Oreochromis niloticus: one gene and its partner. The protein of the gene in region 2 interacts with the protein of the main gene of each other region in a biochemical or structural test. Links are inferred from orthologs where the notes say so. Each region holds a gene or a part of one and is shown on either strand. Other genes may lie near its edges. The genes, in order: pea15 and rps6ka3b.

Region 1 (7,934 bases), on a different chromosome or scaffold from region 2:
GCTCCCAAAAAGCTGAGTCAAGGCTCACACACACAAGCCTCTATTTGTATAACTGTGAGGACCCTTTAGCTCTGTTCATAACCTAAAATTAAGCTTTACCCTCAGGCAAAGTAAAAAAAAAGAAAAAAAAAGTCCTCACAAAGATGTATTATCAGTCCACAGGAATGTTTGACAGCTTGCAAAGAGCGCACACTGTTCAGGGATAAAAATGAGTGGAATGTGGCCTAACAGGAAATGGACTGACAGCTGTCACACTGTGCATCTGTTACACGCTAAAGTGCAATGTGCTGTATGAGTGTGGCAGATGGGGTCAGAATGAATGGGAATATGCAGTAATTAATGACAAATAGCTAAAATTAGAGCAGAAGCTACATGTCAACAAAGTTAATCAGGATCTACTTGGCTAATTGTTCATGTCATGTTTTTTAGCAAATATGCTAAACGCTGTGCCAGCATCTTCACTGTGGTGTTTTTGTAACGTAGAAAAATGACTGAGTTTATGCTAGCAAGCAACGCAACATCCTAACGTCTGGCTTAAGAAGTGGCAAAGGCAAACATAAAATGGGTTTAATTTACATACAGCAATGAATGTTTTAGCTTAAAACAGACTTAAAAGTAAACTGGGAGAACAACTGATGGTAAAATGGCATTAAACCACAAAAACTGCCTTGTTCTTTTTTTTTTTACTTTTTTGGTATCTCTTTATAGTTCTAATTAATCATTTTGCTGTTTTGCTGTTAGCTGTATTTTTTTTTTGTTTGTTTGTTTGTTTTTCTTTTTTCTTTTTTTTTTTTACATGTGTCAAACCTCTATCGAGAACAAAATACATTAGTTATGGACTGTAGCTCATAATGGTCCCATTATCCCTGCTGTAAAGGTTTTATCTGAGTGGAGACAACTTGATAGTTTTATCCCATCGTTCAGAAGAATATTGAAAACAGCCCTCGCTTCCTCAGCACTAAACAGTACGGAGCTGTGCAGACGTCACTTTTGACACAACAAAAACACAATCACTACATCGGTAAAATGGGCCAACTATAGATTTAAGAACATATTAGAAAGTATACATTATGTATTATAAATGTATTAAAAACATTATGAATTTAAGAACAGTAGTTAAAATTGCGTCACTGGAGCTTTTCACTTGTGTGAAGTCTTTTACAGTTAAGCAGAATCTGTTGCAAACATTCAAAGAAAAATGCTGGTGTGACATGAGCAAGCCACCCATAGAAAACACAAAGGATTTAATGTGATTGTCTTGCTGTCAGCATTACCAGATTCACTATTTTCACTGACAAATGCAGAAAGCTTTGTGCATCCCTTTTAAAAACACTAACAAAGAGATGCTAGTAAGCTTGACTCAAACACAGAACTTCAAAGTTACTCCTTTAGTTTCTTTAGTCCTTTTATGCCTTTTGTAGGTTTGAGCTTATCAGATCCTTGGACAAGGCTAAAACTAACACTACTCTTAAATTTTGAAAAGCCTATAGGCCCAAACCAGATTGTGTAATAGTATCAAAATGATTAAAAACAGGCAATATCGTGTAGTGGTTTAGGTGTGTGTGTGTGTGTGTGTGTGTGTGTGTGTGTGTGTGTGTGTGGGGTGGGGGGTGGGGGGTTCATGAAAGGCATCCGGCTAAAAATCTGCCAAATCAAACATGATTTCATCACAAGTTCACAACTGCATAAGGAGAGTAGCTTAGTTGAGATAAGTCTGTTAGTGTTCAGGAAGAACACTTCTGCTCACCCCCACCCATATGCACACACAAAGTGTTGGCCATCCACCCAAATTCATTCATAAAAGACCCACCCCTTCCCCATCCGCTCACACACACTCTCAGCCATCCGGGACAGTCACAGGTGGTCACCAGTGCTTTATCATCTGCTCCTCTGGTTTAGAGCCAGAATATTCCAGATCATGTGATCCTCATAAATGCAGATCTACTAAAACAACACCACAGACTTTTATCACACATTATAGCTGGGATTCAGTGGGAGAGTGCACTGTAATCCCACTGAGTCCAGCCTCTATACGGAAAACTGTTGGGATATTCAGCAGGGGTGTAATGAAAAGGACACTAGATACATGAATAGCCACACTACACTCAATCCAATTAGTTTAATCAATGGTGTATTCAGTGCACTCTTGAGAATGAAACATCCATCCATTTGCCATTTGAAAGTCCATGAATGAGTTAAGGACATACGCTTAAAGGTTTACAGTCAGTTATTTCAGCTTAATGTTTAAGTGTTTCTTTTACTGTTAAGAAACAACCTGCTTAACGCCCAGTGGAATCACTTAATTGACCAATATTGTATGTCCGCTATCCTCACAGGAGTCTCAGTTTTAATTCATAGTTCACAAAAAAACAACTCTCATTGACAGCAGGCTGTGAAGTAGGCGAGTCTCCGACACAGCCTCCATGTAGCGGTATGCAACGACAGAAATGAGCCGTATCCATGAATGGAGAGCGGAATGACGGTCAAATGAATGAAGTACACTCTGGGGAAATGGGTCTTAAAGCAACAATCCCCCACAGGCGTGTGAGAAAAAGCATGATTTAAAAAACAGAAAAAAGATGGAGACAGGAAGGGAGAGTTAGAAAGAGATGTACTCACCCCGAGCAGCAAAAATGAGTCAGCTACAGGCAGGGAAAGAGACACGGAGATGGAAGGGATGCGTGAGTCTGCGGGACGATTTCCTCTACAAAGCTCAAACGCGTAGAAAGCAGCCCAAGAGAGACGGCAGACGTGATGCAAGGAGGGAGAAAAAAAAAGTCCACCTGGTCAGTCCCGCTTGGTTTCGGTTCACTTTTGTGGTTTCAAGTCGCTCAGTGATGAACTTGAGTGTGATTCATCAGCGTGGCAAAACGCGGCCGTGGTGCCTGGGTTAGACGAACTGTCAGCGCGAGTTTGGGGGTGTATGATGCTCGTGAGGTCTCCCTATGTCCGCGTGCTTCGCTATCCGCCGCTCTGAAGCTGGCTGCTCTAACGTGGAAACGCCTTTTGTCTCTCTCTCCCCCTCCTCTCGCTCTCTCTCTCTCTCGGTCACGGTTAAGCGCGCTGTCTGATTCGCCCTGAGATCGTCTGTTGAATACAACGCCTCACTCTGTCAATAACACGCCGCGAAACTATATTTGGCAATAATAATAATAATAATAATAATAATAATAATAATAATAATGATTTTTAAAGGGGACTTGAGGAGGCTGTGAAGCCTGAGGATAATCAAAAATTAGATTTAAAAGTGTTTGCATTCTCTGCAGCACACTGTCATCTTATCTTCTTAATTTGCCTTCGTGTCTATCCACAGGAGATTTCAAACACTTTCAAATCACATCCCCAGTTAATGGTTTTGGGGATAAGTAAGGCACATCTTTAGCTTGCATTTTTTCAGAGCTTCTTTTTTCAAAGTAAAATAGTAATATTACCCGTTGGATAGCACTGTTTCAGGTATTCACTCGATTTGAATTTGTTCCGATGTGTGAATGCTGCTTTATCCTTGGCTCAGCACTCTCGTTCAAGGCGCGTATCCAGGACCCTGGCTGAGATGTGATGGCTATCCACTGAAGTCCCATTAACACCACTTTAGATTTACCAGCTAACCTGACAAGCGTCTTTGGACACCTTCAAACCTGGAAGCTTCTTGTTGTGAGGTGAGTGTTGCGCCAAGATGTTTTATTGGTTTAGCTTTCTTTTATTGGCTTAGTCATGTAACCAATCTAAAAACACCATTAATGAACCTCAAGCTGAGTTTCACAGCAGTGATCACTAGTGTCTAATCTTCTTTCCATCCAAATATTCTATGTGTTTTACCTTCTCCTACTTTTAGTTTAACCCATGGTAATATGGACTGTTATATGCTTAGCACTCACTTAGTCCTCAAAGCACTTTGACACTGCAGGATGAATCCACAGACACATGCTCAAACCCACACAGATGCATCAGTGGGTAACTTGGGGGATTTCTTTAATTGATCTCTTGTTTTACTTTGTATAATAAAATAAGGCCGTTTTGGAGTATAACCCAAACATAACAAATAAAAATATTTGTTATGCATCTGGGGTTAATTTAGAGTTAAAGATAGAAACAACCAGCAGGAATAACACGCTGAGCACACGTTCGTGTTCTCTTTAGTTCTCGGTAAAAGGAGCAGAGTGGGAGCTCTTTCCCATTCCCTATTTTTCCTCTGATTCCACACATACACTCTCAGTTCCACACACACATTTTTCGAAGCTGATGTCACTGAGCCGCTATCCGGTCTGCAAATCCCTCCTCCTGTTCCTTTCTCTCTGTCACAAACATCAGCCCCCCAGCTTCAACTCCATTCTTTTAAAAGTGACAGCGAGCCAACAGAAGTTGTGCTGCTGGGTGCTGATCTCTCAAATGAAGTTAAATCATTCATTAGTTTCTCCCCTCTGGCCTCCCCTTAGCACAGTGAAAATGGACACAAGTGGGAAAACAGCTGCAATTATAGAGTTTAAATCTATATTTCAGATTTTTCTGTCACAAAATTGCTTTAGAAATGACAGATGTCTGTTCTTTCAATGGGAATAAAATATTATTTCATTGGTTTCACATTTCACATTCTGCAACACAAAGCAACTATGTTAGCAAGATGCATCCATAGATTATAACGAGGCTATTATTTGTCATAGTATTGGAATGATAATTGAATTCAAAGTCAGTCAGAAGTCAACAACATCAGGAACATGGAGATATGTTTAGACTGGTAAACAGTAGTAGATAGTAGCGTCCATGGCTAACACACAGTTACTGTACAGTTGGAACTATCTAACTGCAAACTCTTTTGTAACTCTAAGCTGTAATTTTCATGGCTAATAATTTTCAAGAGAAACTCTAATGCTCACTAGTGTTTTGACAGCAAAACGGTCCAGCAGTGGAAGCACCTGTAGGCTAAGTTATAGGCTCTGCGGTGCAGAACTAAAAATTAAGCTGTCAAAGCAAAGTTGGCATGCACTACCATTTTTTCCCTTGCTTCCCCACAAAACCTTTTTGGAGATTAAACTTTTGTTGATGCATATACAGTTGAAGTAGCCCGTTAACTCCAGCTAGTCCTACATATTTTATTTTGAAAAGAACACAAACCCCTTTTTAAGTGTAAAGTAAGGTAAAGTTAGTTTTCTGAGCAGTCTTTGCGACCATCAGGAACTCTGAGTAAAACGTCCAGACAACTAAAAATAATAACTATGTGTAGTGGAAATACCTTCGTATGTGATGTCACATTTCCTGTTTTCTTTAACCATCTTCAGGTTACACCAAGAAAACAAGAATTGCTTCCTGTTAAAAGCTGCTTGAGCCATTCTACACTTCTCTTTTCAAAGGTCTTCAGAAGTGCGCGTAGGTGGGTGTGAAGCGCAGAGCTGTGTTCATTCTTGCAAAGTGTAACTTGAATCCAAAAATGCACAGGTGTTGTACATCAGATGTCCCACGACTAAACTTTACATCACTGAAAGAAATAACTCTGCTGGAATAAACTGCTAATGGTTTCACACACCTCAGAAGTGCGTATGTGTGTTTTGACATAATTTTGGAATATGTTATGACGGACATGAAAAAAAAATGCCCCAAAATTTAAAATAAAACACATTTATTAATATAAAATATAAAAATAACCTTTAACTTACAAAATTTTATAGTGCATCTCATGATTTTGTGTTGTCATGACTTTGTTGTTGCTCTGTAACTCATGGCGATACAAATCTGGAGGTTATGAATAACACTTTTCTTCTCCGGTCTTTGACCTCGGGCATTGGAAAAAGTCCCCTTTTTTACTAATACACAAGCATGTACACATGATCACTCACAAGGGTGCAAAAGAACTGGAGTAAGGACACCGATTTTGGGAAAGTTTCCATTTGCTTTTACTTAAAAAAAACTGAAAAAGTGCTGCAATTCAAAGCACCAAAGCACCACATTTACAGGGGTTAAATGCATTTATATTCTTTGTGTTACTGAGTGATGACAGACTGTGCTACTACAGACTTACTAAACACAGCTGTAGTTCCATTAAGGCAACATCGGCTTTTATTTGAGTATTTTTTAAGACCACTAGGGTGTAATCATCACCATGTTTACATCTTTATTTATTAATAAAAGTGACTATTTAATGCCTGTAAAAAAAATCATGATGTTCATAATGCCTGACTTAAAAGTTTGGACTGATGAGGAGACAAATGAAAAAGATATATATATTTTATTCTGTTTTGAGCACTTTTTCCATTATTTGAGCTGTAAATGGTGTTCAGTGACTTCATCGGCTTGTTGGCCTTATTGAATGGAAAACACTGGTTTGTCTTTTCTTTTGCAAAGTTTTCTGGAATGAAAGATGAAGTGTAAACTTCATTTTGCTGAAAACCTCTCATGTGACACATAGTAATGAATGCCTTCTTATTTCAGATTGCTAAAGATTGTCTTCACTATCAACAACACCCTAAATTGGCATCGATTCAGGGGAAGCATGTGAGTTAGCCCATTACTGTTTTAGTGCACTTCTTTGCTGTCTTTTAAACCCAATGGATGCTTCTTTTTTTTTTTAACACACATCAGCTGTACATTGTTGAAAGTGCATGTAGCCTCGGCATAACCACTTAATTTAGTGCTGTAAATTCGCCATGATGCCAACAGCATTAAATTACTTACACATCAGCAGAATCTTGCTTTCTCACTTAAGTATCAGTGACCACAGTGGTTAGCACTGTTGCCTGTGTTCAATTCCACCATTAGGTTGGGGTTTTTCTGTGTGGAATTTGTGTGGGTTTTCTCTGGATACTGTGGCTTCCTCCCACATTCCAAAGACGTAGTTATTGGGGATAGGTTAATTAGTAAGTCTAAATTGCCATAGGTGTGAATGTGAGTGTGACTGGTTGTCTGCCTCTATGTGTTAGCCCTGCGACAGACTGCCAACCTGTCCAGGGTGTACCCTCCCTCTTGGCCTAAGTCAGCTGGGATAGGCTCCAGCCCCCCCACGACCCTGACAAGAATAAACGGAAGAGAATGGATGGATGGGATGGAATAACTGCTGTTTGCCACCATGGCAATTACTTGGATATTACATTGTTATTACTTTGGTAATTGAGTGGTAATAACAGAAATTTTCAATTATTACCTTATTATTTCTACTTTGTTACACTACTTTTAACCCTCTGTTACCGAGCTACAATCAGAAGTGCTACCAAGTTAATGCACAGATAACATAAAATTCAGCTTTGGTTTGATGTTAATATTGATTCAATGAACAAAGGGGCAGTTCATGCAAAAACCTGCTAAAGAAAGAAACACCAACAACATACTCGGACATAAAAACTGAGTGTATATTTAAGCAAAACCACAAAACCATAAAAGCATGAAATGTTTTGCAAAGATCCTATACACATTTCTGTATTTATATTGTACCGCCTGCTGGTGAGTAAATGCATCAATATTTTGCTCTGATGTTCACTAACTGATATGTGTTCTGAATTACAATAAAGTGGCTACTTTATTCTATTCTATTTTATTCTATTCTAGTCTATTTTTCATAGTTCTACTTTCTACCAAACATTTTTTTTCCGAAAGGTTTGACCCTATGGTAAACATTTTGTATTTAATAAAATATTATTATCGTCATCATTATGTTGCAAACAGCAGTGAATACAGTGACACCAGATTTCCTGTACCTGTCACCACCTAAATGAGTTGTCTCAGGATCTGCTTTCACTGTAACAATGGGCATACTGTTGTTAATGCAAATACGGACAGAGTCATCTGAAATGGAGAATGAGGCAGCGCTCTTTGGACTCACAGTGAAACAGAAAACATCAGCACGACAAAACATCTTTTTTATGGGTTTAATCTAAGGTATTTTCTACTTGAAAGAGCTGAGGTTCAACTTCAGCCATTTTTCATGAACAAAAACTGAACACGTCAATGCT
Region 2 (7,314 bases):
TTACACAGTCTTCTTGGGTTTTTAATCTATTTTCTGGTCAAAGTAAAGTCCTTACAGGAGCTTAAGATTTGGCTGCTGCTGTAATTAATAATAGCCTTTAACCTGCTGGTTTAGTGCTCAAACATGACATTAACTACTGCACCTCTACGGCTGCATATTCTGACGCTGGACTAGTAGATAAGGCAATAAGCAGGAGCTGTAACACAGCTTTAGTATTTGAAAGTAAAGCCTTGCGTGTCTACAGACTGATCTCAGGAGACTTGGCGTGGTGTGTTAAAATAAGGAAATAAGGGGGGGGGGGGGGGGGGGGGGGGGGTGCTGCTGTCAGCGGTGATCTAACTGAGACTTTAAGGTGATTTAGTGAGTTTGTGACACTCAGAGTCGATGAATTGATTAAATGAGCTTCAGGGTCAGGCCAGAGAGAAAAGCCGGGGCTCTTCAGATCATTTTATGTCTTCTTCTACAGTTTGTTTTCTATCAATTTGTAGAGCATTTATAGAGCCTGCCAGTATTATAATATTCGGTGAGTCTGCATCTGCTTAAATGGTAAAAAATGTAATAGTCCCAAAGTAGTTTTGTACTTTCTGACATTTTTATATTATGGTCAGGGCATTTCCAGAGAGATTTTAACACTACTATGGCAGCTTATAGTGACACTTTCTCTGCCTGGTAGTACTAATGTAATATATCTGCATAGAAAACTTCATCTTTGTGTCTTCAGAATGATCTTATGCTACTTTCTGTTGTGTTTCAGTAAAACTAATTTAGTCCTGTTTGAGGTTCGTGGTGTTTTTAGTCTAACTTAAGGTCAAAATAATGCCTCTATAGCAGCTTTAGCTGCTGCTCTCGATCCTAATACAACCTACTTTGCAACATTTTCACACTTCGTCATTCCATTCTCTTATTTTAGCATTTAAACATGAATCTGTTATTTCTAAACAGACTTTAACATATAAAACCCAAATGTAACAACTCTGTCCCTAAACTGCTTCATGATGTGATTCAGTGCAACTAATATAGTCCCCGTCGGAGCTCTATGCTGCTTTAAATCTAATTTAAAATAGTTTGTGTAATAATACAATCTGCTGTGCACAATGTGCTGTAAACCTCTCAATTAAACACCAGTTTTATTGTTCTTCTGTGCCCACTGTACACTGTACTGGTGTAATATTTCTGCACAGAATATTACTTCGTGTTTGTGTCTTCAGAGTTACATGAACTGATTTCCTTTTAGAGTTTTATGGTATTTAAAATCCCATTTAGGGTCATAATAGTGTCCCTGTAGTCACTCAGCAGTGCTAATACAGACTTCATATATTTGTCCCTTACGACACTTTCAGACTCTGTTTACTGACACTGACAGGCATCCATGACAGACTTTTTTTCTTTTATTGTTTAAGTCATTCCAAAAATATTGTAGCACATGCTCAGGGTTTCCTTTTGCACACATGTAACATGTCTGGAGGGTGTGGACCACGTTCGGGTGTTTAGAGTAAACACACGAACGTTAAAACTACGTCGTGTTTTAATGCAGCTAACTTCATCTTTTTGGAGCTTTCTAATGTTTTCGACCAAATTTCAGGGACAAATTGATGCCCCTTTAGTCACCAGTGCTGTCAACCATAATGCAATCTCATTTTCACATTTTTGTCCTTTATGATATTTAAAACCTCTCGATTTAACACCAGAAACATGTCCATGGCAGTCCTACAGAGACTGCAACACTACGTTGGCAGCTTATACCGACAATGTGGTACTTTGGAGTTTTTCTGTGCCCTGTAGTACCACTGTAATACTCATGCATAAAGTATTATTACATATTTGTGCCTTCGGGTCATCACTTGATACTTTATGTTGTTTTAGTGCAGCTAATTTAGTCCTGCTGAAGCTTTCTAGGGTAAAAATGATGCCTGTGTTGTAGTTTAGCTGCTAAGAAGAGTGACTTTAACTAAAAAAATCGAATTATCCTGAAAGGTCCCTTCATATTTTTGCACTTTATGACATTTTAAACCACATGATTTAACACTGGATCATATCCAGGACATTCCTGCAAAGATTTGAGTGCTTATTTGGGAGCTTACATGACACTTTGGTGTACTTCTGCGCCCTCCTGAACTGGTGTAAAATTTCTGCATAGAAAATTACTTCATCTTTGTGTCTTCAGAGGGAAATAAACAGATGTTCCCAGAGTTTACGGTGTTTACAGTTCAATTTAGGGTCATAGTAATATCCCTGCAGTCACTTAGCAGCTGCTGTCAATATAAATGCAATGTATAATGTCCTTTATGACACTGTCAGCTTACTGTTTGAGCACTTCATCGTGACTCTGTCATTGCTAGCACATGTCCAGCGCTTCCTGAAGCACAGATTTACCTGCAGAGTGATCTTACGGTAGTTTGTGCTGTGTTTAGGAGCAGCTGCCTCTGCCTGACAGAGAAGGCGCTTTTGTAGCATCAGACTGCATCCTGTGCCGTGTTTTTGTGTTTTTTACCCCCTGAAAGCTGCTGCTGTGACTGCAGCCCTCATTCAGCTGTCAGTCAGTGTGACAGCAGGACAAACCAAAGTGTGCTCACCTCTCCAGCCGTCCTCCCCAGCGGCATCTTCTGCCAGGGATCCGCCAGCTGAGCCAGAGGCATCTTCTTCTTCTTCTGCCCCTACTTTTCTTTATTCTTCTTCTTCTGTTATTCCGCTTTTCTGCTGCTCGTACCTCCCTCGCTCCGGACGCTTTCTCTCCTCGCTCTTATTCTTAAAAAAAAATGTTTGAAGGTAGTAGTCCACTTTCAGCGTCGGCAGGAACCGAACCGACCGACCGACCAACCGACCGAACGGAGCCGAGCGAACAAGGGCTAATTCCGGATCTGCCGCGGCGCTGAGACCGCCCCTTCCTCCGGAGACACGAAGAGGAGGAGGAGGACGCCCTTTTTCGGAAACTGATTGACTTATCTCCGTCTCTCTCTCTCTCTCTCTCTACCTCCACCTCTCCCTCTCTCACTTCCGTTCTTTCCCAATATGGCGGCCGGTGTCGGCTTACCTGTCCGTCAGAGCGCTGCGTCACAACTACGTCACGACGACAGGCGGCATTCTCACTTAGGTAATAAAAGAGTGAACGAGCACGTATCTGAACTTATGAATAAACAGTCTGCAATTCATCACTAAGGCGGTGTTGTTTTTTTAATGATTATTTTTACCGATAAAGCCTAACAGGGTGGCGCCAAACTGCCCCACACAATCACAGAAAGTATGTAAAACGACCTTAAACGACCCAAATGACCACAAAACATAAAAAGTAACACAAAATGCAAAAGAGTATCTCAAAGATACTCAAAATGACCACAAACTATCCAAAATAAGCCACCTAACCACATAAAAACCCATCACAAAGTACACAAAATACAAATACAAAAATCTGCAAAATGGACAATCCAGCAATAACATGGCAAATTCCACCAAAAGATGTAAAAATAAACCACAAAACTACTCTAAATAACAACAAATGTCAAATATGCAAAATCAGTAAACACATTCAAAGTGATACACCAACAACCGCAAAATGACTACAAAATGTGCAAAACAGTCACAAATGACCCAGGCATGAAACAAATTACCATAAAAATATACAAAATCTGCACAAAATCACCCACAGAAATAATACTGTGACCACAAAAACCTGCTAAATGTCCACAAACAGCCAACAGTTATTCCACATATACTGTAGTGAACCACGAAATAAATAAACCACCAAAAAAAGCTCGAGGACAACATAAGTGTGTACCCATGAAATGCCAAATTACCAGAAAAAAATACAAATCAACACATTATCAAAAACTGACCAAAAAATATGCAGTGACCATAAACCACTCAATATGTACATATAATATATGAAATGCTCACAAAAACGGGAAACACGAGCACAGAAAGGAAAACGACTTTGAAGTACACAAAACGACAAAAACTACACAATAACCAAAAACAAACATCAACACAAAAAACCTCATGAACGTGCTCCTGGATTCACCGCATCGCTTCCTTAAAGCTGTGCGTCGTTACAAAATCCACTTTTGAATACTTTTGTCAGTTTTTTCTGTGACACCTTTTCACTGGTTTAAATTTACAGCATTTAATTTTTGTCCGAGCCGGGCATGACTTTCGTTCATAAAGCTTTAATAGAGCGAAAATAGAAGGGATAAAAGTCCAGACATGTCCCTTTTTATATTATGAAGCTGACAATAAACCAGGCCGAAGCCAGTGGAGATTTTTACTCTAATTAAAGTGAAAAAAATAAATTGATTTTTAGTTTTGAGCAGTTTATCAGCCTGATAGTGACATCTAGTGGTTGAGAATGGAACAACTGAACACAGCTCACTGATTTCCTTTAGTTTGATCAACTATTGAGTCATATTTGAAGCATTACTTTGTAACCACATTTTATGTTTGACAGCTGAGCAAATAAAATATGATTCAAACACACCAATCACGTTTCCACTTTTCTTTAAAGTTGTTTTATTTCACAACCTTCAGTTTCCACCATTCAGACAGGTAAATAAGAAAGCTTTATATCTGTACAGGCTCAGATACAGTAAACTTTAAAGAACACAGGAAAGATTTTATAACAGACTCCTTTAAACTCATAAAGTGCCCAGAAAGTCTCAAATGTAGTGCATCCAGTTGCCAGCTTCAGTTTCCCCAAACAAGTCCGGATGTTTGTCTCGTCAGCAGTCGAGTCGAGCAGCTCGATTATATTTTATTTACTCATCTTTGAAAAGGGGCAGAAAAAGGTCATTTCACCGTTTGGTTGGAAAAACCAGATCTATGGAGACAAAAAAAAAAAAACAAAACAAAAACACAACCAACAACAACCATTCCTAAAAGATCCTGCAGACCTCAGTGTCCAGATAGGGAGAGCCTCTAAAGCATTTAGAGACCATCTAAAGTCTTGTTTTCATCTTCAGGTTATAAACATTTTTAGAGCCATTTTATCATTACATACATTAATATTGTGTCCTTATCCTGGACACTGAAGCTGCTTCAGATGAGGGACTGCTCTGAAGCTCAGGCTGCGACTCCTCATTTAAAACACATTTACTACCAGAAAAATCCATCACATTTGTATTTCGCCGGTTTTAAAGTCACACTACTGAGGGAATACCTACACAAGTTTGCAACATTTAAAAGTCTCCTAAGAGTTTAAAAAGCAGGATAAACATGGAGAGGGTTTCTAACAGACACGTTTCCATGTCAGATGTTGGGATTTGTGCGTTTACAGTGCAGCATGTTAATCCTATCCAACACCTCTGTCTCCACCACGAATAACATCTCAGTTATACAGTAAACTATAAATAAATAACACTGGCAGGTTTCAGGTAAAAAACCTCAGAGTCCTGTGAAGGTGCTGAGACCTAAAGTCGAGAGGGAAGGTGCTGAATGTGTGAGGGATAATGGTTGGAGTGTGTGGTCCGAGTCTAGCTGACAGACTTGAGCTTGGACCAGGGGCTTGTCCCGCGCACCTCCAGCGGCGGGTTCTTGGAGAAGATGTGGTTGCATAACTCTTCCAGCGGCGGCTCCGGGTCCGAGGTGGCGAACTGAGTCGCCTCCTCCACCTGCTTACGGATCTCTATGTCGATTTCCTGATGGGAGAGAAATCAGGTGCTGTAATCCCTGCAGCTGCCAACCTTTATATAAAAAAAGGTTTGAAGCTGTGAATGTATCCCTGCTGTCTGCACGCTCACCTTGAACTCCTCTACAGACGCCATGTTGTGGCTGAGCATGCGCTCCTTCAGCATGGAGATGGGGTCGCTCTTACTACGGACCTCCTGAATCTCCTCGCGGGTACGGTAGCTGCAGGAGGTCAAACCAAATTACTGAGAAAAATCACAACTCTCCCAGGGTCAGGTAAATCCAGACTGGGAAAGGTAACTCACCTGACACCTGGGTCACTCATGCTGTGTCCATGGTAACGGTAGGTCTGCAGCTCCATTATGATGGGACCCTGAAACACAAAGTGCTGCTTCACATCGATGCTCTGAAAGATTAGAGCCTTTTAGAGATCCTACAGGAAACTCTCCACCACGAGAACCCTTCAAAATTAAAGGCTGTGGGTCTCCATGGACTTTTACATATATGAATAACAGAGTGCAGCACAGATTAGATATTAAAAATGTATAAATAAAAAAACAAAACAAAAAACAAACCCTCACCTTTCCAGCTCTGCAGTGATCTGCAGCAAACTGTGTGGCCTCTCTGACGCACAGGACATCCATCCCATCCACCTGCAGGAGAGCAGAGAGAAACCTGACCATTGGCACACCTCTACGTACAGAGACGCGACCCCTGCAGCGACACCTGGAACATTCCAGTGTTTGTGCGCAGTATCATACATGAGCATCAGGCAGCTGTATGCATGCTCACACCTGCAACTGCCAGGACAGACTCTCAGCCTCTTCCTGTTATAGTCTGGGTCCAAACGGGCCAGCGGCAGTGTACAGTCATCAGACACACTGCCGCCGCTGCCCAGGACCGGCACGTTTACCCGCCATGTTTAACCCCGCCGTGCAGCTTTAATGTGTTCATGTCTCACTCTGAGTCCAGGTATGAAGTCTCCCCTCTTGTAGTAGTCTGTGCTGGCTGCAGCTCTCTCCACCGATGTCCCCATGCCGTACTTGTTGTTCTCGCAGATGAAGATGCACGGCAGCTTCCATAGAGCGGCCATGTTGTAAGACTCAAAGAGCTGGCCCTGATTGGATCACAGAGGAGTCGAGGTCAAATGACGAGAACCAGTGTAAAGTTCTTTACAGAGGTATTAAAAAGCACACAGCTGAACCACGTAAACAACGCAGAACACAAACGCACGCCTGTCCATCCAAATGCCAGATACATTTTAAACTGCCAAGGGAGGAAAGCTGTTCCACAGTTCTGGCACTAAAGTTTGGAGCGCACATAATCAGCCTCAGTTTTCAGACGGAGGAAAAACAAAACCTCCATCTGTGGCTCAGAGGGTCCGGTTTGGAGAACAGGGGTGAAACAGAATGAGAATAAGTGGTGGCGTCACCTCGTGAAGCCAAGGAAATAAGAATAAAGATCTTAAACCTAACTGATATGACAGTGTAAGAGTGCGTGTTAAAAGCCTTTTAGCAGCATTGGTGGATATTAATAGAGTCATTTAAATCATTTTTAACTCTTACCTGATTGGCTGCTCCGTCTCCATAGAGCGTAACGCACACCTGGTTGTTGCCTTGGTACTGGCAGGCGAGAGCGATGCCTGCTCCCAAAGGTACCTGCACAGTTCACAGGTGAGTTACTGAAACCATAATGAGAGTG

The links.
Region 1: the proteins of rps6ka3b (region 2) and pea15 form a complex in vitro, tested with the Homo sapiens proteins (2 studies listed by BioGRID). The link is inferred for Oreochromis niloticus from reciprocal best matches to the Homo sapiens genes RPS6KA3 and PEA15.

What each region holds. Positions count from the first base shown.
Region 1 is NC_031967.2:28,670,040-28,677,973, reverse strand, and holds the start of pea15 (astrocytic phosphoprotein PEA-15), read right to left. Parts: upstream 3,025-7,934; 5' UTR 2,620-3,024; intron 1-2,619. UniProt on the Homo sapiens protein: Blocks Ras-mediated inhibition of integrin activation and modulates the ERK MAP kinase cascade. Inhibits RPS6KA3 activities by retaining it in the cytoplasm. Inhibits both TNFRSF6- and TNFRSF1A-mediated CASP8 activity and apoptosis.
Region 2 is NC_031974.2:5,811,337-5,818,650, forward strand, and holds the start of rps6ka3b (ribosomal protein S6 kinase alpha-3), read right to left. Parts: upstream 3,018-7,314; 5' UTR 2,637-3,017; coding exon 2,574-2,636; intron 1-2,573. Other genes in the region: pyruvate dehydrogenase E1 component subunit alpha, mitochondrial, read right to left, coding at 5,460-5,624, 5,727-5,835, 5,919-5,986, 6,195-6,266, 6,575-6,730, 7,179-7,271. UniProt on the Homo sapiens protein: Serine/threonine-protein kinase that acts downstream of ERK (MAPK1/ERK2 and MAPK3/ERK1) signaling and mediates mitogenic and stress-induced activation of the transcription factors CREB1, ETV1/ER81 and NR4A1/NUR77, regulates translation through RPS6 and EIF4B phosphorylation, and mediates cellular proliferation, survival, and differentiation by modulating mTOR signaling and repressing pro-apoptotic function of BAD and DAPK1.